2 linked regions of the Coturnix japonica genome follow. The protein of the gene in region 2 interacts with the protein of the main gene of each other region in a pairwise test. Links are inferred from orthologs where the notes say so. Each region holds a gene or a part of one and is shown on either strand. Other genes may lie near its edges.

Region 1 (10,347 bases), on a different chromosome or scaffold from region 2:
GTCCAGAGGATGGTGCTAACCTTACCCATGGCAGGAAGGGTGGAACTTGACCATCTTTAAGATCCCTTCTAAGTTAAGCTATTCTATGACCTTAGAGACAGGGACTCCGCCACTTCCCTGAACAGCCTGTTCCAATGTTGTCTCTGTGAAGGAATTTTTCCCCAGCATCCATTCTAACATCCATTCTAACCATCCCCTGGTGCAACTTGAGATGGTTTCCTCATGTTCTATTACTTTTCACCTGTGAAAAAAGACCGACACTTTCCACTCTGCAACATGGAGCAACGTAGCACTGCGCATTATTAATGTTTGTGTCCTACCAATAGGTCCATCTGCTTTGTGCATTATAGTGGATCTTGTTGGGATAAAATCAACTTCCTGGCATGGATCCTGTTCCTGTATTGTTTATTTCCATTACTTCTGTAAGACAAGGATAAATTCTGGAATAGTTAGGAGAAATTAGTCACCTTTGGGAGCTCTGTTTGCGTCGATAGGTTCCCATTTTCAGTGAGATATGCCTGGCATTTGCTTCTGCTGATAAGGAATGGGTAAATGGGGTGGGAAGATGACGAGCAAACGAAAGACTAATTTAAAGGGGGAAGTTAATATTTGCTAATCTGCAATATACAGTAGGTTATTGTTTCTTGCTCTGGTCAGAACGACAATGAATGTTTTCCTAAATAAAGTAGTTTTCCACAAAATGCAGAATCGGTGTTAATCCATTCAGCACTGCTCTTACATCACCTTACAGGAAGCAAGAACAATGTGCCTCTGTTGTTCTCTAGAACAGCCCATGTTTGTCAAGCACAGAAGGAAGTCCCAGACTGAAAGGAGACGGAAGCAGCATGCTATTCTACTTAGTGCTATGACTCGTGAGGCCTGTGTCATTATTAGTGCCATGTCCATTCCAAACACAAGACAGGTCTTCTGTAGATTTGGCTGGATGTGATGTTGAGCCGTAAAAAGAAACGAAAAAACAAGTAATAAAAAAGGAAAAATAACCTGGAATAACCCACACAAATCTTCAGCATACCTTGTTCACTTGTTTCTCAAGCACTGTCGAATTTACATCTCTAGTACCAGATGGTTTACACCCGATTACAGTTCAGTATCACCCTGTTCCTGTTGTGCTTTTTCTAATGACAAAAACTTGCAGCAAGCAGCGTTAGCTGCAAATCTGTTGGAATAATTCCATCTCTTCCTTGTAGGTTTTCAAAGCAATACATCACTGTCCTTTTGCTTTAACCATAATTAGAATTCTAACAGCCAGGAATTTTTCATTCTTATTAGTTGAAAATGCAATTTGTGTTGGGTGACAAACACTGTGTTGCAGATGCTAAAGACTTGATTAAGCCACTCAAAATGAGATCGAGACCAAAAGAGGTAGTTTCATTTTAAGCATTCTGATTTAGAGATATGAAATTTGAAGCATTTATGTCAAAATTATAACTTTTTTTTAATGTATTACAGCCATGAGTGTCCAGTAGAGGGAGAAAAGTGACTCAGTGATGCATTTTCAATTTTCTTGGTTGTATTGGAGATTGATGGAATGGACTAAAATATATTCCTATGGGAGTCTGTGGGAGTAAAGTTCAGTATGTTTCAATTATGGGTGTAAAGAAAACCATCCACGAACTTAAAGAACCTTGCAGACATAAAGATCCAAATGAGATCTCAGAAGTACACGTACTGTTCCTTTTCCCATGAGCGCTAGAAGGTAACTTGCACAAAAATAGAAATGGTTAAACTGAAATAAACAACAGCTTATTTCAAAAATTAAACTGGGTAGGCAGCTGTAGACAATCAGACGTAGCCTATATGTTCAGTACTAAGAAGGCAAGAAGGCAGTGTTTTGTTATGGGAGGGTCGACTGCCAATCTTTAAAAGAAAGTAAGTCTATGATTGAGATAAGCATTTAATGCACCAAGTAAGCACTGGGGGCAGGTAAATAGTCTGGTGTTCGATCTGATCATGTAACAGTAATAGCATGGGCTATTACTATATTACCATAATTCACTTACTGAATTATGACACGGTGCACAGAAATGGCAATCAGCAGAACCTACAACTCTCACACTTCTTTCTGAATCTTATATTTCTTCCTCTGCTACAGTGTGTTGTTTTTTTTCCTCCTCTCACTTCTTCTGTCCTTTTTAACTTCCAGAAATGTCTCAGCTTTCCCATCTGACCCCGTGAGCTTTTTCCCTTTGCATTCATTCCTGCAGCTTCCTTGGTTACTTCCAGTTGTTTATTTTCACTCTTGCCGGCTTTCCAGTCTCGGGATGCTAAATGCTTCCCTTAAAGCTTCGACTCATGCAGCCTAATGACTGTATGGAAATTTCAGCTGGGAAAACCTCTTCATTCCTTTCAGTCAGTAAACATTCACTGTCAAAGAGTAAAATATTGATGGCATTAAGCCTAATGCATGACTCAATAACTAGAAAAGAGCTTACTGCATTCCCCAGCGTTTTAAGCTGTTTATCCTTAAGCCTAAAGGAACAGCTCACAGTCTACTTTCTGTGATAGAAAGGCTCATTTTGCAATGTTTTATTATTGTTGTTGTTGTTGTTGTTGTTGTTGTTGTTGTTGTTGTTGTTATTATTATTAATGCCTGCAGTATTCTCTTGCTGATAACAGATTCTTTAAGGATTTGTGTATGTAGAAGTGCTTGCCACCAGCTCAGCTCATGCCTAAACTGGCTGTCAGACAAGCAAGCTGAGGGAATGACGTGCATGTGTCTATGGCAGAACAGAGATCAGTGCTCTGAAAAGGAGGAGAACTGGATGCAGGGATCCAGTCAGCATCTTGACCGCATGTTCCAATGCCAATAAGGTGCGTAGGGTGATGAGCTGAGCTCGAAGAAGTGACTGCAGTATAAACAGAGCCTATACTTTGCATACTGAGAGGGTGGGGAATCAATTCATTGAAGTGATGCTTTGTGAGCAAAATACTCGCAGTGGAGGGCTGTTGGTGGAGCACGGCTGCCATCTAACGGGGCGTTGTGGCTACACGGGCTTTGTGCTAGACAGGGGGGTTGGAACTACATGATCCTTGAGGTCCCTTCCAACCCGGGTCATTCTGTGATTCTGTGATTCTGTGTTGGGAGGAGCCGGCCGGTAGCACAGCTGGTTTCTATGCTGCTATGAAACGCTACTGTTACCGGCTGTCCTTTGTCCCTCTGGGATTTACTCACATGCCCTGGACCCTAGGCGGAAATACTCGCGTTTCCCTACTCTCTCTGCTCGTAAAATAGCTTTTCAGAATCACAGAATTATCAAGGTTGGAAAACACCTAGAAAATCATCTAGTCCAACCATTACAAATACTTCCCAGCTAAATCATATTCCTCAACACAACATCCAGACTTTTCTTGAACACTCCCATGGTCGGTGACTCCACCACCTCCCTGGGCAGTGCATTCCAATGCCTGACTGCCCTTTCTGAGAAGTAATACTTCCTAATGTCCAGCCTGAATCTCCCCTGGCACAGCTTTTTTATTATTTATTTATTTATTTATTTATTTATTTATTTATTTCTCTAGTTGTTACCGTATCTTCCTTTCAATCTCGATACACAAATACTTCTGTTAGGAAGTGAAACAAAACGGCTATTTCTAAAGGCCATCGAAGCGTGAATGCACAAGCTTGTCTGTGGGGAAATAAACGGTATGGGGAACTAGTCTTTCTCATAACGTTCTGTCTGCTCCTTGGCCATCGATGTCTACAAACACCCTATTAACACGTCCTCAAAACAAAGCATTCTCCTGTCCCATGGTCAAGAAGGACCTCTGTCGGTGAACCCCGAAACTATGTGCCCGCTATGCTGCCAGCGCCAAAGATGGCGGCACCGCCTCAGCGTGGCGGGCGGGACTCTTCCGACGCAGCTCAGCGGTGCCGCCTCCCAAGCTCGGGCCGGGCCGGGCCGGGGCCATGGGCACGGCGGGCGGCGGCGTGCTGAGGCTGCCGGGGCTGCACGGCTACGCGGCCGAGTTCTCGCCATACTGGCCAGGCCGTGTGGCCTGCGCCGCTGCGCAGTACTACGGCATCGCAGGTGATGTACTTGAGGCAAACGGGCCGACTGATGGTATTTTCTCCCTGTGACATAGTGTAGCGCTGCCCTTGTGTTGGGTGCTCGGCCGGCCCGGTGGGGGTGCAGAACAGGCTGCCTCGGGGTTGGAGGAATTTGCATTTCCACTCTATTTTCACAGAGTGGAAATAAATACAAACAAAAGCTACATCTGCTGTGTTACTGAAGAGGTAGAAAGGAGCTGGTCCTGGTATACCTATAACACAGGGCCAATGCTTGTGTGTGGGGGTGCACTTAGGGCTGACAGTAGCAGGACACGGGGAAATGGTTTTAAGTTGAAAGAGGGAAGATTTAGGTTGGATGTTAGGGGGAAGTTCTTCACTAGGAGAGTGGTTAGGCTCTGGAACAGGCTGCCCAGGGAGGTTGTGGATGCCCCGTCCTTGGAGGTGTTCAAGACCAGGTTGGACAGGGCCCTGGGCAACCTGATCTAGTAAAGGTGTATGTTTGGTGGCCCTGCCAGGCAGGGGGGTTGGAACTACATGATCCTTGAGGTCCCTTCCAACCCGGGTCATTCTGTGATTCTGTGACTTCTGTGCAGGAGGTGCTGCTTTTCCAGCCTCAACCACAGGTGTACTGGGGGAGGAGAACTTGATGTAAATGAAATCCTGTTTTGGAGAGCAGAAGAGGCAACAGGCTGTTGCACAACTAACTGTGTGGCCTCTTAAAGAAGTTTAGCTTCCTTACGCTCACAGGAGCTATCACAGAACTTGTAGGACCTTTGGTGTGAGCAAGGAGTTGTGATGTTTGGTTATACTGTGCTGTTTTAGGTTGTGGAACTCTGGCAGTGCTGGAACAAAATGAAACTGGGATTGTCCTGCTCAGGAGGTAATGCTGTAAATATTCTCTGTTGTGAAAATAAGGTGTAAACCTGTATTGTTGTTTGTAGAAAACCCATCCCGAACATTTTGGTGTATTGTTATCAATGTAAACTGTTGTATCTGTACTATATTGTCTGCTGTACACATATATTTTTATCGAGGTGCAAATGATTGGCTTACATTCCACGTCTCATTACAAAAAGTAATTCAGATGACACCTTTTCCATAGTGTAAGCCGTTTTATGGAAAACTGGCAGTGTAAATTAAAAGCTCTGACCCAGCTTGACATTGGAAGTTTGGTTGTTATTGCAGGTGTCACCTCTGTTTATCCCTTTAAGGTTGGCTTAGATTGAAAATAGAGCAGGAAGCTGGGATAAGTCAAGGAAGTCCTTTCTTGGAGATGGAATGCTCCAAGAGAGGAGTTTGGTCCATGTTCTGGGTGGGAGAAGGGGAGGGGTTAGTGCTTAGCCTCTATTCACCTAATTATGCAAACAACAGTTGTTTAGATTAAGAAGGGAAATGAGATATAAGTATTAAGCAAGAAATTAGAAAAATCTGATAAGCTGTTTTTAATTCATAATTATCCACCTGACTCTCTGAAACTGTTAAACACGCTCTTCATTCTACAAAGTGTTCTGTTCATTTCTGTGTTTCTAGAGACTCCACTTATTCTGTGGTGGAAAGTCCTGTGCTTTCCTGAGCACCGAGCTATGCCATTTTCCCCATAGAAGCTTTCTGTGTGTGTGCCTTTCTCTTCATAATTACTGCAGTGTGCTATGAAGCTTAATCTGAGCTGAGTTAAACCTTCAGTGAGAGGGGGGTAAATAGGTCGTATTTACTATGAGATAACAGTGTGGTTATTAATAGGTGTTGCAGAGCAACCAGCACACGGTACTTGATCCTGGAGGATGAATGGGTGGTGTGCTGAAAGCCCTTTTTAGGAGTTACAGAGATCTTTAATATTTTCATGACTGCTCTTCTCTTGGTTTTTCATTGTCACTCAGATTCTTAATGGTGTTGTGGATTGAATAGAGACCTCCCAACATGGTTTTATTTCTTTGATTACCACAGTTATTGTGGACTGCAGGCTCTGACCACTGTAGCAGCAGCATCCTGGAGAGATGGTAGGTTAGTCTGAGATGTGTAGCACCTCTCATCTGACTTCTCAGCAGTTTAGAACTGAAGTCAGATTCCATTCTCTGTGTCTGAGGTCCTTGGCTCACTTACACTTTAATTGACCTACTCTGACCGTAGTCAACCTATTCTTGTAGAAGTTAACATTGTATCCAGTAAGTTGCTTATGAGGAGATTCACTGGAAACTGAAATGGGTAAATAAGCTGTTCAGAATGGTAAGCAGGTTGATTATAAAAAGCTACTGTCTTTGCACACAGCTAGTCCGGATTTGTGTTATGCTTTCCCATGGACAAATATCTTCATTGTTTCTGTTCAGCTTTGACTGGAATGACGGCCTGTTTGATGTGACATGGAGTGAGAATAATGAGCACGTGTTGATCACTTCTAGCGGGGATGGGTCTCTGCAGATCTGGGATATAGCGAAGCCCAAAGGTCCACTGCAAGTCTATAAGGAGCACACTCAGGAGGTAAATCCAGCAAACTGCAGGAATTTGCTGGACTGTCTAATACTTGAATTACTAAAGGGGATATTTGAGCACTCAAAATCAAAAGTGTTTTCTGTCATCTATTTTTTTTTAACTTTGTTTGGGCCAATGATTTGAATTTAAAGCTTCATGTTATTTTCAGTATAAAGTTAATATATTATACATATTCATTTGCACATTCACACTCGTGTCGTAGGTAACTCTTAGTCTGATAAATGTAATAAATTCAGAAATAGAGTCTGTGGTTCCTTCTAAACTAAGTAACCATTGAGTTGTATGAAAGTCATTCTGTAGCCTTAGAGGACATTGTTGGATAGGCCAAAGTCAGGCAGCTGATGCATATAGCTGAGTTATCCTTGAGGGTACAGAATGATAGAAATTATATCAATCCTGAGGACTTTTGCATCTGCTTGTCCTTTTCCATTCTGGCATCTCTGAGTTCTTGCTCAGATCAACAATGGTCAGATATTGGGACAGCATGTATTTTTTTTTATTATATTTTTTATGCCTTGGTTTGATGCAACTGATTTCAATTTGCTTAATGCCTCAGTTTCTTTTACTGTATGTTATTGGCAGTGAAAAAGCTACACTCATTCTCATGTTCATACATCTGCACATTTTAAGGGGCTTTTATGCCTCACCATACTTATCTTCCTCTAAGTGATTTTTTTATTATTATTATTTTTTACCCTGTTTTTCCTCACGCTTTTCTTCTAACTTTATACTCTTAGAAGTCTTAGGACTTCAGATGTGATCAGTCTTAGCTTGGATTAGTAACACTTTATCTTAGTGAAATAAATGTGAATGAAATAAGTTAGTGTGTATGTAGTCAACAATTAACTGTGGGTATTCAGTTTTGTTTTCAGTTTTTCAGTTATTTTTCTGGTATTTTTCAGGTATTCAGTTCATCCATTCTTTTCAGATACTGAACACAAGACTATATCAGTCTTATGTTTTTTTCTTTGTAATTTTGCCACTTTGGCTTAATACATATACTGTGTAAATAAGGAATTTTGAGATATGTGTGGTTGTAATCAGGATTATATGTCAGTGTTCAAAGACTGATAGAAAGATGTAGGCAAGGCATAATACCAAATTATCTTTTGTCTCCATCTCTTTGGAATTCTGTCCATAGGATTATTTTGGTTCTGCTACACCATCTGTTGTTTGTGAAGTGAGAATTTCTGTGTCCAAGTCCTGGTTTAGCAGGGAGCATGGGGGGTGGATGCATTCAACTGTGAGTTGGAAAGACAGTGTAGGACGCATGGGCTAAGTGTTTACTTTGAGATATCAGGGTTCTGTATTGATTCTTTGTAAGTGTACGTTAAAAGGATAGATCTCAGTGGGAATATAACTAATAAGCTGTGGTAAACACTGAGAGACAGTGCTCTTTAAAGTCATTGATCACTTCTTAATCTGTAATCCATCTGATGTTTGTAATGATGGTTTTGTCACTGATTTTTGTAGTATTTCCAATGATGGGGACCAGTTTCTTGTTTTCTAAATGAGATTGTTCTCCCCCTCAAAAATAACATAATTTAAAAGCACATCTTTCTTATTTAAGGGCAGTGAGTTTTATTCCAGCACCAACCAACTGCTGATTCTTGGGAATAAAATTGTCTGATTTACTTTGGTTTTGATGAGGTGTCACTGGAATGTGAGACAGTACTTAAATGCAAAGACTCACTTTACAGGACATATTTACTTAATTTTGAGCTACATTTTGGTTTCACTTCTTTCCTTCATCTTGTTTTCATCTTACCTGGGACATTTCTTATTACAGTGTTCAAACATAAATTCATTAATGTTCTATGATTGAAGATGAGCAGTTAAAGTTTGTGCTGTGTTATGAGCTCTTCTCAGTTGCTCAGTGCAGTTTATTTTGAAAGTTCTGTAAATTTATGTTGGATGATAGCATGAAATGTAAGAAGTATAAAAGTGGTCCTTGTTTGGTTCTCTGGCACTTTCTTCTTCTCATTCTCTTCCTATTACATGGACCTGTTGCATGCCAAATGAAAACAGCTCTTGCTTTTTCTACGCCTGTTGTCTGTTTGGCTTGTAATCCTTGCCTGGAGGAGAGTTTGTCCGGGTATCATTATCTGTTGTGCAGCCACAGCTGTGTCTGCCGTATGTGTTCAGGTCACTGTCATAACATGTCTTCAACTGATCTGCATGCTGATGCCCTTTAGCTGAGCTGACACAGGTACATATTTCTCAGGTATGCTTTTCTTTCTTGGAGATTCTGGCTGTGTATATGGCAGCACAACATTTGGAGTGAGCAGAATTCCTAGGGCTATTGCATGAATGACGCATACTGTGTAGCACCGTAAAATGACAGTAGGAGTTACATGCAATACCATCGTCCGGATTCATGGGGAAGGAGAGAAAGCTGTGTTAGCAAGGAGCTCAGGAGCCATGTGGGAGAACTGTGATGTCCTCTGTTCTTAAAACATGAGCGTGACTTGTTTGCTTGTGTTATTGTTATTTTAATAGGAGAAGACAGGCTGAAAAAGGAACTGTGATACTGGTAGTAAGCTTACAAAGGTAGAATAGCCAAGAGGAGAAAGGCACAGTTCGGAAGAACAAACAGAAGAATTACTGTTCAGTTTATTATTTGGCTTTTGTCAAATAGTGTGTGGTTATCTTGTACATTTAGGTTATAACCTCCTCACACAAGAGAGCTTGCACGAAGTGGTGCCAGAGCAATAAGCCTTTCATATATGGAAACAGAATATTGTGCAGTAAAGAGGGAAGATTGCAGGTGATGGGTTCTTTTTTATGGACAATGATTGCCATCAACTTTTGGGAAATATGCAAATAGATTAATGCCAGTCAATTTAAGCCGGATCCAGCAGAATCTGAAATAGCTTGGAGGAAGGCAAGTGCCCAGAAGTAGCTGAATGATACCTTGATTTCCTTTTTCATAATGTAAATATTGGAATAAAATTGGATCTGGGATCAGTTTAAATTATGTTGGTTTTTTTTTTCTTCTTCTTTCCTATCTCCATCTGGAAACATCTACTCTTTGTTTTTGGATACCTTTCTGAGTCTGTGTGTGCCTTTAATGCCAAACGGAGAGATTAAATTTAATTTTTGCTCAGGTAAATGGCACTATTGGCAGCTCTGTGAAGTTTGACCAGCATGGCTTTTTAGCTGATTGTGATATAATCTACAAATCCAAGTGTAATTAATGGAACTAGAATTAACGTATTTATGTATAATGTAATTAACAGTTAACTAGAATCTCAGCCCTACAATGCTTTTTCTAAACTGCGCTATTGTTTTGTTTATAGGCATATAGTGTTGACTGGAGCCAAACCAGAGGAGAGCAGCTAGTGGTGTCTGGTTCATGGGATCAAACAGCCAAGCTGGTATGTTGGTTTTTGTTGAAGGTACAAATGCAATTTGTTTTGAGGGTGATAGTTCTTCATGTTAAGGAACAGCATTGATTTACTTTTCCTCTATTTTAAATGGAAGCTGCTGTAACTGAGATGTTCTTATATCTTTCTTTTGGTACTGGGTGAAGTGTATTAGTGCTTTTCATGATAGATGGTAAAATCAGGAGTTGGACTTGATGATCCTTAGGGATCCCTTCCAACTTGGGATATTCCATGAGAAAAAGTGCTTAGTCCCTTTAATACACATAAAACTTCCATATTCATTAAATCTTTTCTGTTCTCATTGCGTGTGCACCTCAACAATTTTCCTTTTACTTTGTTCAGTGGGATCCAGCAGTGGGGAAGTCTTTACGTACTTTTAAAGGCCACGAAGGGGTCATTTACAGCACTATATGGTCTCCGCACATCCCTGGTTGTTTTGCATCT
Region 2 (10,614 bases):
TACTGACCAAGTCAGCAAATTCCTTCCTCCTTTCAGACTATTCCTCTAAGCGTATCCCTGGAGAAACACTCATGCACACATGCTCTTCTTTCTCCCCTCTTCCCATCCCTCTACCTCCACACACCAGAATTAGGCAGGATGCTTCCAGATACCCTGGAAATGATAAAGCAGCACTAAGCTTTCTATCTTATAAGTTTCTATAAGCTTTGAGTGCAATGCCCAGATTTCACTTGAGCGTTGAACAGCACAAGTCACATTATTGCTCTTGACAACAAGCAATGCACTGCCTACTTGAACTGAGATTATCAGCAATTAAACCAGCAATCAGAGAAGCTGGAGTCATAGCAGCTCTATGTCAGATTCTGTAATCAGTTTGTGGTTAAGCAAGTCTAGGAGAATTCAACAGCTGAAAACTGGATAAAGGGCTATGTCAGCAGCAAGCAAAATCATGACATTTCCAAGAGTGTTGAACCATAGCTCTGTTCAGGGAACTCCAAGAACTCATTAGTTAGTACCAAATGCAGAGTAACAACAAAGCTCCTGTGCTTCTGTGGGAAACTAAACAAAGTTACAGCTCCGCTGCATTGGAGAGAGCCAGCAGATGAGACTCCCGGTAGCTGATGTGCTTAACGAGTCTTTGCTTCTATGATTCTAACCCAAATGTTCATGAGCTTGCTAGGGGGAGAGGTGAAGTATCCTTTTGATCAGTTTAAATATACATAAACAGAGCATTAGTTGGTTTTTTACCTTTCGGAAACCTGATGTCTTGTTTATCCCAGAGCCGTGAATGAGCAGGGGATGGAAGAACACCGTGTCTCCCTTCTCCATGACAAGGTGAACCTTGGGACTCTTCTCGTTGTAATCAAGTATCCCGTGAAACAATTTGTTTGTTTTACCCTAGGAAAAATAAAATAACATAAAATAAAAAGCTGAGTTAAAATAACTCAGTTAAAGATGGAGCAAGTGCAGATTTCCAGTGAAAGAAAAGCAGGGAGGCTCCTGATCTGTGAGCTTCTGGGCAGTCCACTCAGTATGTTCAACTAAGAGCCCGCCTGCTTGCCAACCAGTCATCCTACTACAAGTCTGAGGTACAGCAGGTTAACACTGCTTCTGTTTTCTGAAGCTCTATGCTGACAACCAAGAATTTCTCTGCTGGAGAGAACAGAGAAGAGCACCTTTGGAGTCCGGCTTTCTGCTCCCTGTAAAACCATCATCTGTGCTGGGCCAGGTGAGGTAGCATCTGTTCTTCAGATGAAGATAACACCAGATATTTCACTCCAGCCAGCTGTTTGTTTTCTGTTTCTCTCCTACAGCAAAGCACACGTGCTCACCAAGCAGGAATTAATTCACAGGAGAAGGGAGTCCTCAGACTTGGCAAGGACACTGGAAAATGGTTGCATGTATTCATGCAGTCATGCAACAATATGCCAGACTATTCAGAAACCTGAGGTCCTGGCCCTGAACTAGGTGTTGCAATTCAGCTCCAGAAAAGGATCCCCTCCAACACCCAGGTTCAAATTTTGGAGAGTATTCTGGAGAGCAGGCCAACATTTCTCCATGATTAACCAGGCATTTCTTGATGAAGAAACAAAGTAACCTCACTCGACAGGGCTTTAGGTGAAGTTGGGTACAAGAGCAAATCTGCCCAGGTTCAGGAGAGCCGCTGCTAAGTTATATGGAGTGAAGTAAACTAAGCAGCTCTGCCAGAAAGCAACAGTGAGTGTTTGGACAGGCAGAAAAGCCATGGTTGGAAGCCTCAGCTCTGACATGCTCACCACCTCTCCCTGTGAACCCTCCCCAGCTGCAGCGCGGTCCCAACACACACAGTGCCTCCATGCAACCCTACCTCCCACTCTGGATATCCGTGAGGCCTCAGGGGCAACGTGTGTGTCCCTGGCAGGACAACGAGGCACCCGTTGTTCTCATCAGCCCTCTGCATGGCAGTCCAGGAGCACACGATGCGGTCTGCCGGCCGGAATGGGAAATAGTGCAAGTCCTGATGCATGGGGTGGAGAAAAGTCTGTTTATCTGCAACACAAGGCCAAAATCTTCAACTTAACAAATAAGGCATGGTCTCTTCCTTCCTATGAAGACACTGCACTCATATCCTGTCTAAAGAAGACACTGCTTGCAAGCATGAAGGCTTTGCTGATTTTACATATGCTCCAGACCACCACTGATTTGGAAATGAAATGGGTTAGCTTGTGCTCTCATCCCTAGAGTCCAAGACCAAAAGCAAATCCATGCACTTACGTCAGCAACGGCATGAGAATACAGCATGTGCCAGGAGGCTGCCTGGCTGTGTGACCCTTCAGAAGACTCCTCCTTTGGTGGCCTCCACCATCCACTCTCCACGCTTTTGCCTTTCATGGCTGCTGTCCAATCTGTGAACGTTTAACCTACACAGTATTGCGTAACCTCTCCCAGTACAAAGACTTTCAACAGCAGCACTGGAAAGGCTTATCCAGAAGCCATTTGATCTACTGCTGTGTTGTAAGCAGAATCACCCCCCCCTGAGCTGCGCCAACAGATGTTTATTCAGTCTTCTCTCTTCTTGTTTTAAATCTCCTCACAAAGTCTACCCAGCACTCTACTAACCTTCTTCCTAAAGATTTATTTTCCCCCTGAAGCCTAGACCAAAAAACATTACTGAAAATTTGATTGCTACTTCTCTTCCCACTATGGAAATGGAACCGTATCCATATCATCCTCTTCCACACCAAAACCTTTTACATATTAGATGATTTATTTTGCCATGGAGTTTACACCTTGGACAGACAAAGCCAGAACATCTTCCTATTCATCGCTCTCGTATCAGTAATGATTTGAATTTCCAGCAGCAGCCAAAGCCAGGCTTCAAAATCCTTCCTTTAGCACACGTTCAAATACCTTCATATAGAACCACTGGGCGTGCACCAACTGACAGTGAGGTCAGGAGCATATAAACTCCGAGCAAAGGATGATCTCTGTATTTATTGCCTTTCACCGACGTCCACAGAAACACTTATTTTCAACACCTTTGAAAAGTCAAGCTTAAAAGCATGTCATGTTTCCAACAACGAGCCTTTGTGCAAGTGCAGCTGGCTGAATAGGGAGCTCGCTGGCCCACCCTGAAAATCAGTGGTGCAGCCAAGAAAATAACAGTCTTTATATGAAACAGACAACAGCAACAACAAAAAAAAACACCTGAAACTGAAATACAATGAATGTTATCACAGTAAGTCGTGATTTAAAGAAAACAACCTATACCACAAGGTGCCTCAGTTCTGGCCAGATAAACAACATACGCACATTAATTTCTGTACTTATCTTTCCCAAGATCTCCTTACCAGAATCTGGAAGTTTATTGATGAGCATGGTGTGCATTGCCATTATGTTGGGCCCAGTGAAGCACTCAACGTATTTGAGGATCTACAGGGAAGATGACATCAGAAAAAAAATTATCAGAAACATGAGAGATGAAATTGCTGAGGATGAGGGCACAGCAGGTGGGTCACCCACCACAGGAGCTGATGAACTTTGCTTTAAGTTTCCCCTCCAGGCCTCCATCCATCCCATGTTCATGCAGAATGAACAGAGGATGGTTTAGTATCTTCCCTCATTAATACGTTTATGGGAGTGACATGCAGAGGCTTTAAGGATAATGGATATGGCTTCAGCACAACCAAAATAGTTTCTTCAGGTAGGCATTAAAACCCCAATTAATTCGTATATACTTTTCCACAACCGTTCTGTTTTAATTTAAGCTGGTTCTTTGTTACCTGTGGCAGAGTACAGTATCTGAACAACTCCTCGTTCTCCTGGAAGTCCTGCACTTTGTTAACGACGCTTTCAGTCTGGCCGTACTGGGATCTCAGGGCCTCATTTTTCATAATCATGGCTCCGGGAACTCTCACCTCTTTCTTACAGATCCTCACAAACTCCTTCCTGAAAAGGACAGGGAATAAGAAGATGGTCTATTTTCTCTATTTTTGGCCAAACGACCCTCCTCAAACACACTGAATCCAGCAACACCACGCACACGCATTCAGTTAAAGCCCAACTTCATGTAGCTTCCTAAAGCTTCCCCAGGATACTGCTGTACATAAGACCCACAAGCACCTTAGGTAAAGCATCCTGTACCTGAAACGCTCAATGTCTTCATCTGAAACAAGCTTCCTAATGAGCAGATAACCGTTGTCTTCATAGAACTGCCTTTGTTCTGTAGTCAAGATATTGTTGTCCAGAGTAAAGCTGGGAAACACAAGGGAAACACGTTAGTGCACAGCAGGTACAACAGCAGCACCAGACCCCCACCCAATGCCTGAAGGAAAACAGTGATAAATCCTCCCCATGGCAGGTTCTGTGCTTTGTTAGTTTGGCTTTTCCTCTCTATAAATGAGGTTATAACTTACCGAAACTTCCCCGGCTGATGAACAGCACTAACTTGTGCTGAAGTAGGAACGAATGTCTGGAATGAAAATCAAGGAACTGCAGCACAAAAGAGTAGAACAGCTACACATCCTGAATCCTACAGTATGGTTCACAATAAAAGCATGCGCCTTGTCCACACATATAGGAAAGTCAGTACAATGCCCGAGACTTCAAAGGGTTTATCTCCAAGAACATGAAGATATTTAAGGAGACGCTCATTGGAGATGTTTACTTGCCTGGTCTCCCTATGCTCCAGAGAACAGTCAAACCTACCCAAAGCCTGTGCTGTCCCCTGCAGGTGCTTTTCAATCTCTCCCCTCCAATTGCTGCTGTGCCAAATTCAGAGCCAGAATTCAAATGAGATGAACCTGGGACTTCACATTCACACAGCGGTGGCACAAACCTGCTCTGCCTCCAGTTACTGCAGAGAGCAGATCCCTCCAAACCTCACAGGGAAAGCACAGACAGAAGAAAACCTGCATTCCCTTATGTAGAGACAGTACAACCTCATCCATAGAACAATGAAGCATCACTTGGTAATGAACACTCACAACAGCTTTGCACAATGGTACTGAAACTTGACGCAGGGGAAAGGACAACAAAAAGGAATATTATCAAGTGGATCTCTATGTGCTGGTCCAACTGGGAGACTCCTGAGCTTTATAGAGATTGAAGACCTTCCTCCATGGCTCACCACAACCTTTTCCACGTGCCATAAAGGCACGAGCTCTTCTAGTATAAGTAGGTTTTGTCATCAGTTTCATCTGCAGTCCATATGCTGGGAGTCAGTTACAGCGGGAGAATCCCCAGGAGCTCTACCAGCACCACTGCTACGTGACCTAAGAAGTCCAACATCCAAATAACACCAGCTGTGTGGCTGCCTTCTGAATCTTCCATTTCCCTGCGTGTTTGAGGTGGCCTTTAATTCTACAGCCTGTGTGCTATCTCCCCCCAAACTGCTGTGTATATATATCCGATATACAGATAATATGCAGATTCCAACCTTATGAATATTCATATCTCAAGTACACCGTCTGCTGAGCCCATAAGACCAAGCACAGCTCCATGGCACGCAACAACCCTGCTGCATCCCAGCCTGGAGCGCCAACCCGCACAGCCAGCACACAGCTCCCACCCCACAGTGCCAACATCCCACCCGACGCATTAAGGATACGAGAGCAGGGGCTGCCCGCGGGTTCAGGTGCCGCAGGATGGCGTCCAGCCGAGCCGCCGGCCCCGACCGCTTCCCCAGCTGCTCCATTGCGCCCCGCAGCCGGAGCGCCCGACCCGCAGCCCGAGCCTTTATACGCAGCAGGGGAGGAGCGCAGCCCCATCATGCTCTGCAGACTTCGCATGGGCTGCACATGCGCCGGCAGCCGTGCATGCTCAGAAAGGAGGATGTCAGGAGCTGAGAGCTGGCAGGGTTTGTAGATGGGAGGGTCCGCTGGAGGCTGGGAGGACGCGGGGAAGATCCCTCTCATCTGACTTAACGCTGAATATAAAGGGACTGGAAACAATCATATCTGAGATCAAAGCTCCAAAAGTTGTCATTTTTGTTAGCTCCCTGCTGCCACCACATTGTTTAGAACCACACCACTCCTCTTCAGATCCCTCATGGCATTGTTTAGTTTACCCTGTACCATCAGAGTGACAATCCGTTTATCACAGAATGGCCTGGGTTGAAAAGGACCACAGTGATCATCCAGTTCAACCCCCTGCTGTGTGCAGGGTCAGCAACCAGCAGACCAGGCTGCCCAGAGCTACATCCAGCCTGGCCTTGAATGCCAGGCAGCCCAATGTATGCAAACCTTCACACCTGCTCAGTTGGTTCATCATTCCCTTCTGCATGAGCAGTCCAGCCAGGTCCTGCTCCTCTAGACACAGCATTACTGCTGCAGTACAGCTCCAGGAGTGTAGCTCTGCTGTTGCTCCAGGCCATCTCATGATGACAGGGTGTACCCCCAAAACTCTGCATTCCAGCTACTTCAGGAGGCTCAAGTCAACAAGCACCTTGATGAAACGAGAGCTCAACCTACTAAGCTGCAGTGTGTTAGTGCTACAAATAAACAGAAACCAAGGTTTGGATGGTAAGCAATTCTGAACTTAACCTCTATCCCCCCAAATCTGAATGCCTTCAAAAACCAGTGGCAAAACTCCCAGTGCTTTAAGTAAAGGTGTACTGTGACAAGGTGTGAAGCCTAAACTGCATTCCAGTTCCTGGCTCTTGTGGCCGGCAGACCCACATTTCAATCAGCACGGAACCCATGGATGTCTGCTTTGTGGGACTATAAGAGAACACAGGTGTTCACACAAGCGGGACAAACAAGATTAGGAACCCAAAAGAAAAAGATCTCATAAGACAAAACTACAGTGTGTAGTCAGGGGGCAATATATAGGCATGATGAAGGGACAACAGCAGCAGCTTTGACAGCACACATCTCTTTACCGCAATAAAAATCAGACCTTTGACTCCTGATCTATGGTAAAACTCTTAGTCACAGCTAATCAGTCTATGCAGATACACCTTTGCAATCCAGAGCCAATCAGGAACCCAATACATCTTCATCTGTTTCAAAATACAAGTCCCATCACAGAGATAAGGCCAAACGCTGCCCACGTCAGTTATGACACACACCTGTTGTAACGCAGCTGTTTCTTCCTGGCCCACGTGCTGAACAGCATCTTATGCAAAAGTGTCTTTCACGTCTGAAAAAAAGAATAAACCAAAAAGGATGTGTGGTTAGTAACACTGCTGTGCTGATATAGGAGCTTGAAAACTAAGATGCTTTCATAGATATATAAACACATGTACAATATATACATGCATACATTGTGCATTTTTAAACTAGAATAGTTCAAGCTTCAGAAGCCCATCTCCCTGTGCTCTGATTGCAATTATTCCTTGTTAATTATTGTTTTTCTTGCTGCACAAGCCAGTGTTGTTGCATAGTGCCAGCAGCGTTAGCAACTCCCTTGTTACTGGGTCACCCTGTTACATCACATCCTGGTGTGAGTGCGGAGACCTCATCCAACTGGGCACAGGGCAATGGGTGGTTGGGGTGACCGCCCTTCGTTTGTACCATCACATTAATACAGTCCACGACCACACACGTGCTTTGATACAATAAAAGATGGATTTCAGGCATTGCCACCACTGTGACACACAACAAGACTGCTGCATTCACTCTCTGAACGAGTATCATGAACCTATGAGAAGAAACAAGGAGAGTCTCTTTGTTAAGATAACCGACGATGACATTTGTATCTTTATTAAAACCAATGGCATTTAACAGCAGCTGCGTCTTCGCAAAGTATTTTTTAGTGCTATGTCTGTCAGTTTACCAAGTTTTATAGGAGGTTTTTATACGGCTGTTTTGCATTTGGCTTTTAGCTTTAATGTTTTCACTTCATTAAATCACAAAACTAATAAAAATGAAACAATCAAGATTTCTACGGCGGTACCGAGACGGGTCTAATGCACAGCATTGTAACTTAATAAGCATCTCAACTGACTATTAAAATCCACACTAAGATCAGAACTATAATTCCAAAGATGAGGTCTTCTGAAAGCCTAGTTTACTGCAGTGGGAAGTGGCAGCTGCCGCAATTCAACTAAATGAGCCTTCTCAACTTAGACGTGAAGGAAAACAGATGTAGATTTGGTGTTGCTGTCTCATCTACCACCGACACATAAGTTCACTTTTCATTGTCAGAAGCTTCATGAAGGGCTTTTGTATACGCATTAGCAGGAGAAGGGAGACAAAGGAAAACATAGACCCTGTACAGAATAACTAGAAGGAGGCTATTAGAAAAAGGGCATGGAAAAAGTCAAGGGACTTGGTACCCTTCCTGCCTTGGACACTGCTGGTATGGTCTGTCCTCTGGGGCTTATGTATATGATGCACAAGGAAAGGCTGAGAAAATAGTTCACTTGGAAAAAGAGAAGGCTGCAGAGAGACCCTACAGTTGTCTGCAGGTACTTACTATGGGATAGAGAGAAGAAAGACAAACGCTTTCTGAAGATATGCAATAAAGCTAAGAGACAATAGGCACAAACCACAGCAAAAATTCCTATTAGATTTAAGGAGCAAAGTATGCAGAATGGGAATGGTCAAATACTATAACAGGGGGTATGGAGAGAATGAGAAATGACAATGACTGGAGATATTTCACTGCACACAGGCCAACATGACAAACAAGAGCTCAAAACAGCATAGGCTGAAAAGACAGCATCAGCTTCAACACATCTTAGGCAATCACACAGAATCACACACACAGGCAATAGAAGGAAACAACACTACCTTCTACAGAAGCAACGTCCTGCCTTCAGATCCTGGCTCCAGCTGAAACTTCAAGCTTAGGGCAACCCCTACCCACACACCGAGGCACTGCAGCCCAGCATCTCAAGTGTGAGAAATACACCCAGGATTACAGCTGGCCCCAACTTCTGCACTGTGGGTGGGCACCCATGCACACTAACTTCCATATCTCCTAAGCAGAAAACAGTTGGTCAGTCCTCAATTAACAGCAAAAATTCTGTTCTAAAGAATACCTTAAAAATCCAACTTCATGTGACATGACAGATAGTTTTGGTGTCTTATATTCCCCTTATGCAGGAGAAAAAGGAAAAGCTGAGGAAACCAACATGATAGAGGTTGTAACAGACACTAGTCTCTACAAATACATGCTACTTATCAATCCTGCTGTTCAGACCAGTCAGTTTTCCACCTATTAAAATTCTTCCTTCTTATTCTCTCCTGCTCTCACAGCTTCCACGGAGCTTTACAAGTTGCCTTCTCATCACGACTGCTATGGAAGTTGCAGATACCTGTGTACATAAATAAAAGCACATTACATTTCTGTGACTGCACAAAGCCAAACACTGGAGTTCTACTTCTCACATTGTTTTGATACCCGAATCTCAAAAAGCCCTATTTAAAAGGGTATCAAAGCACTGGAAGCATCTACTGATCGTTTAAAGCATTGAACTTGCTAGCCCTCTTCATATGCAGTACTACATATCACCCTATAGCTCAGGCCTGACTGTCTTTTATGTAGCAAACAAAAGTTCTTACACAAATCACAGCAGTCCTTATCTGATAAAGCGATGATAGCACAACACTTGGAACACATTATCATTCACTCTGAATTGACACATTCAGAAATACTCATATCGGCTCTGACTAGAGATAACACCACATCTCAGCTGCCCAGAGCAAGGAAGAACTTTAACATGCAAGTTCCTGCCATCAGAAAACAGAGAAGCTTTGGCTGGCATTTCACCTGGAAGAGCTTTTGCTCACAGCTGGATTCAACAGCTGCAATGTGAAGTTTCCTCAGAACATCCAGAAAACGCCCTGAAAAGGTTTTAGTAATACAAGAACTCGATTGATGTGAATGTTCGCTTACCTTGCTCGTGAAGCAGCCCTCCTCCACGCACCCTTCACCCCTGCAGATGAGCTTCAAAGCCATTCAAAGCATGTTTATAAGAAGAGTTGGTTTCACACCTGGTTGATTGCAATTTATCAACATAACGAGTGAAAAGCAGTTGTCTAACAACCAGTCCATTTTCCTGCCCAGTACATGCTTCTAATACATACCCAGCACCTGCTTAAAATACAGCCAGTCTTTGTAACAAATGCTTCCACACAGCACTGACCGCTCTGTACACATTTAACTCTTTAAATCTTATCAAGTAATGCATATAGTGACAGCCTTTCCCTCCATCACAAACAGAAAGCCCGACGTGACTTTATATCAGAATACAGAACTTCATAAAACCACAGGGGGATAAAAAATAATGACTTTTTTTTTGCATAGATAGCCAGTTTTGATGCTTTATTTTGGTGCTCAGAACTGCTGTGAGAACTCTCAAGTTATTGTCCTAGAGCAGCAAAGTCAAAAACTCAGTTACTGCTTCGAGGCCGTTGTGAACATCAAACTTACAGACCTGTTTTCCAGGAAAAGAAGAGTGATGTTTTAATTGCTTCACATTACCCACAAAAGGAAAAGACAATTCTAATTCTTTACAAGGTGTCTGTTGAGAATATAACTCAATGGAAAAAGATGAGCCAAGTTTTGCCCCAGGTGTCAACCATGATCAAGACTAGAAATGTAAGCCTTGCTTGATGCACAAGACAGATTCACCTGCAGTGAGTCATTATTCATAGATAGGAGCCCTCGTTATTCATGCTGGTAGCG

The links.
Region 1: the proteins of PHYH (region 2) and PEX7 interact in a two-hybrid assay, tested with the Homo sapiens proteins (2 studies listed by BioGRID, with this or other methods). The link is inferred for Coturnix japonica from reciprocal best matches to the Homo sapiens genes PHYH and PEX7.

The regions. Positions count from the first base shown.
Region 1 is NC_029518.1:49,689,843-49,700,189, reverse strand, and holds the start of PEX7 (peroxisomal biogenesis factor 7), read left to right. Parts: upstream 1-3,797; 5' UTR 3,798-3,807; coding exon 3,808-4,049; intron 4,050-4,852; coding exon of another isoform or gene 4,853-4,910; intron 4,911-6,354; coding exon 6,355-6,505; intron 6,506-9,816; coding exon 9,817-9,894; intron 9,895-10,245; coding exon 10,246-10,347. UniProt on the Homo sapiens protein: Receptor required for the peroxisomal import of proteins containing a C-terminal PTS2-type peroxisomal targeting signal. Specifically binds to cargo proteins containing a PTS2 peroxisomal targeting signal in the cytosol.
Region 2 is NC_029516.1:6,011,515-6,022,128, forward strand, and holds the start of PHYH (phytanoyl-CoA dioxygenase, peroxisomal), read right to left. Parts: upstream 5,737-10,614; 5' UTR 5,675-5,736; coding exon 5,588-5,674; intron 4,451-5,587; coding exon 4,395-4,450; intron 4,234-4,394; coding exon 4,123-4,233; intron 3,928-4,122; coding exon 3,762-3,927; intron 3,412-3,761; coding exon 3,330-3,411; intron 2,029-3,329; coding exon 1,847-2,028; intron 898-1,846; coding exon 748-897; intron 1-747. UniProt on the Homo sapiens protein: Catalyzes the 2-hydroxylation of not only racemic phytanoyl-CoA and the isomers of 3-methylhexadecanoyl-CoA, but also a variety of other mono-branched 3-methylacyl-CoA esters (with a chain length of at least seven carbon atoms) and straight-chain acyl-CoA esters (with a chain length longer than four carbon atoms).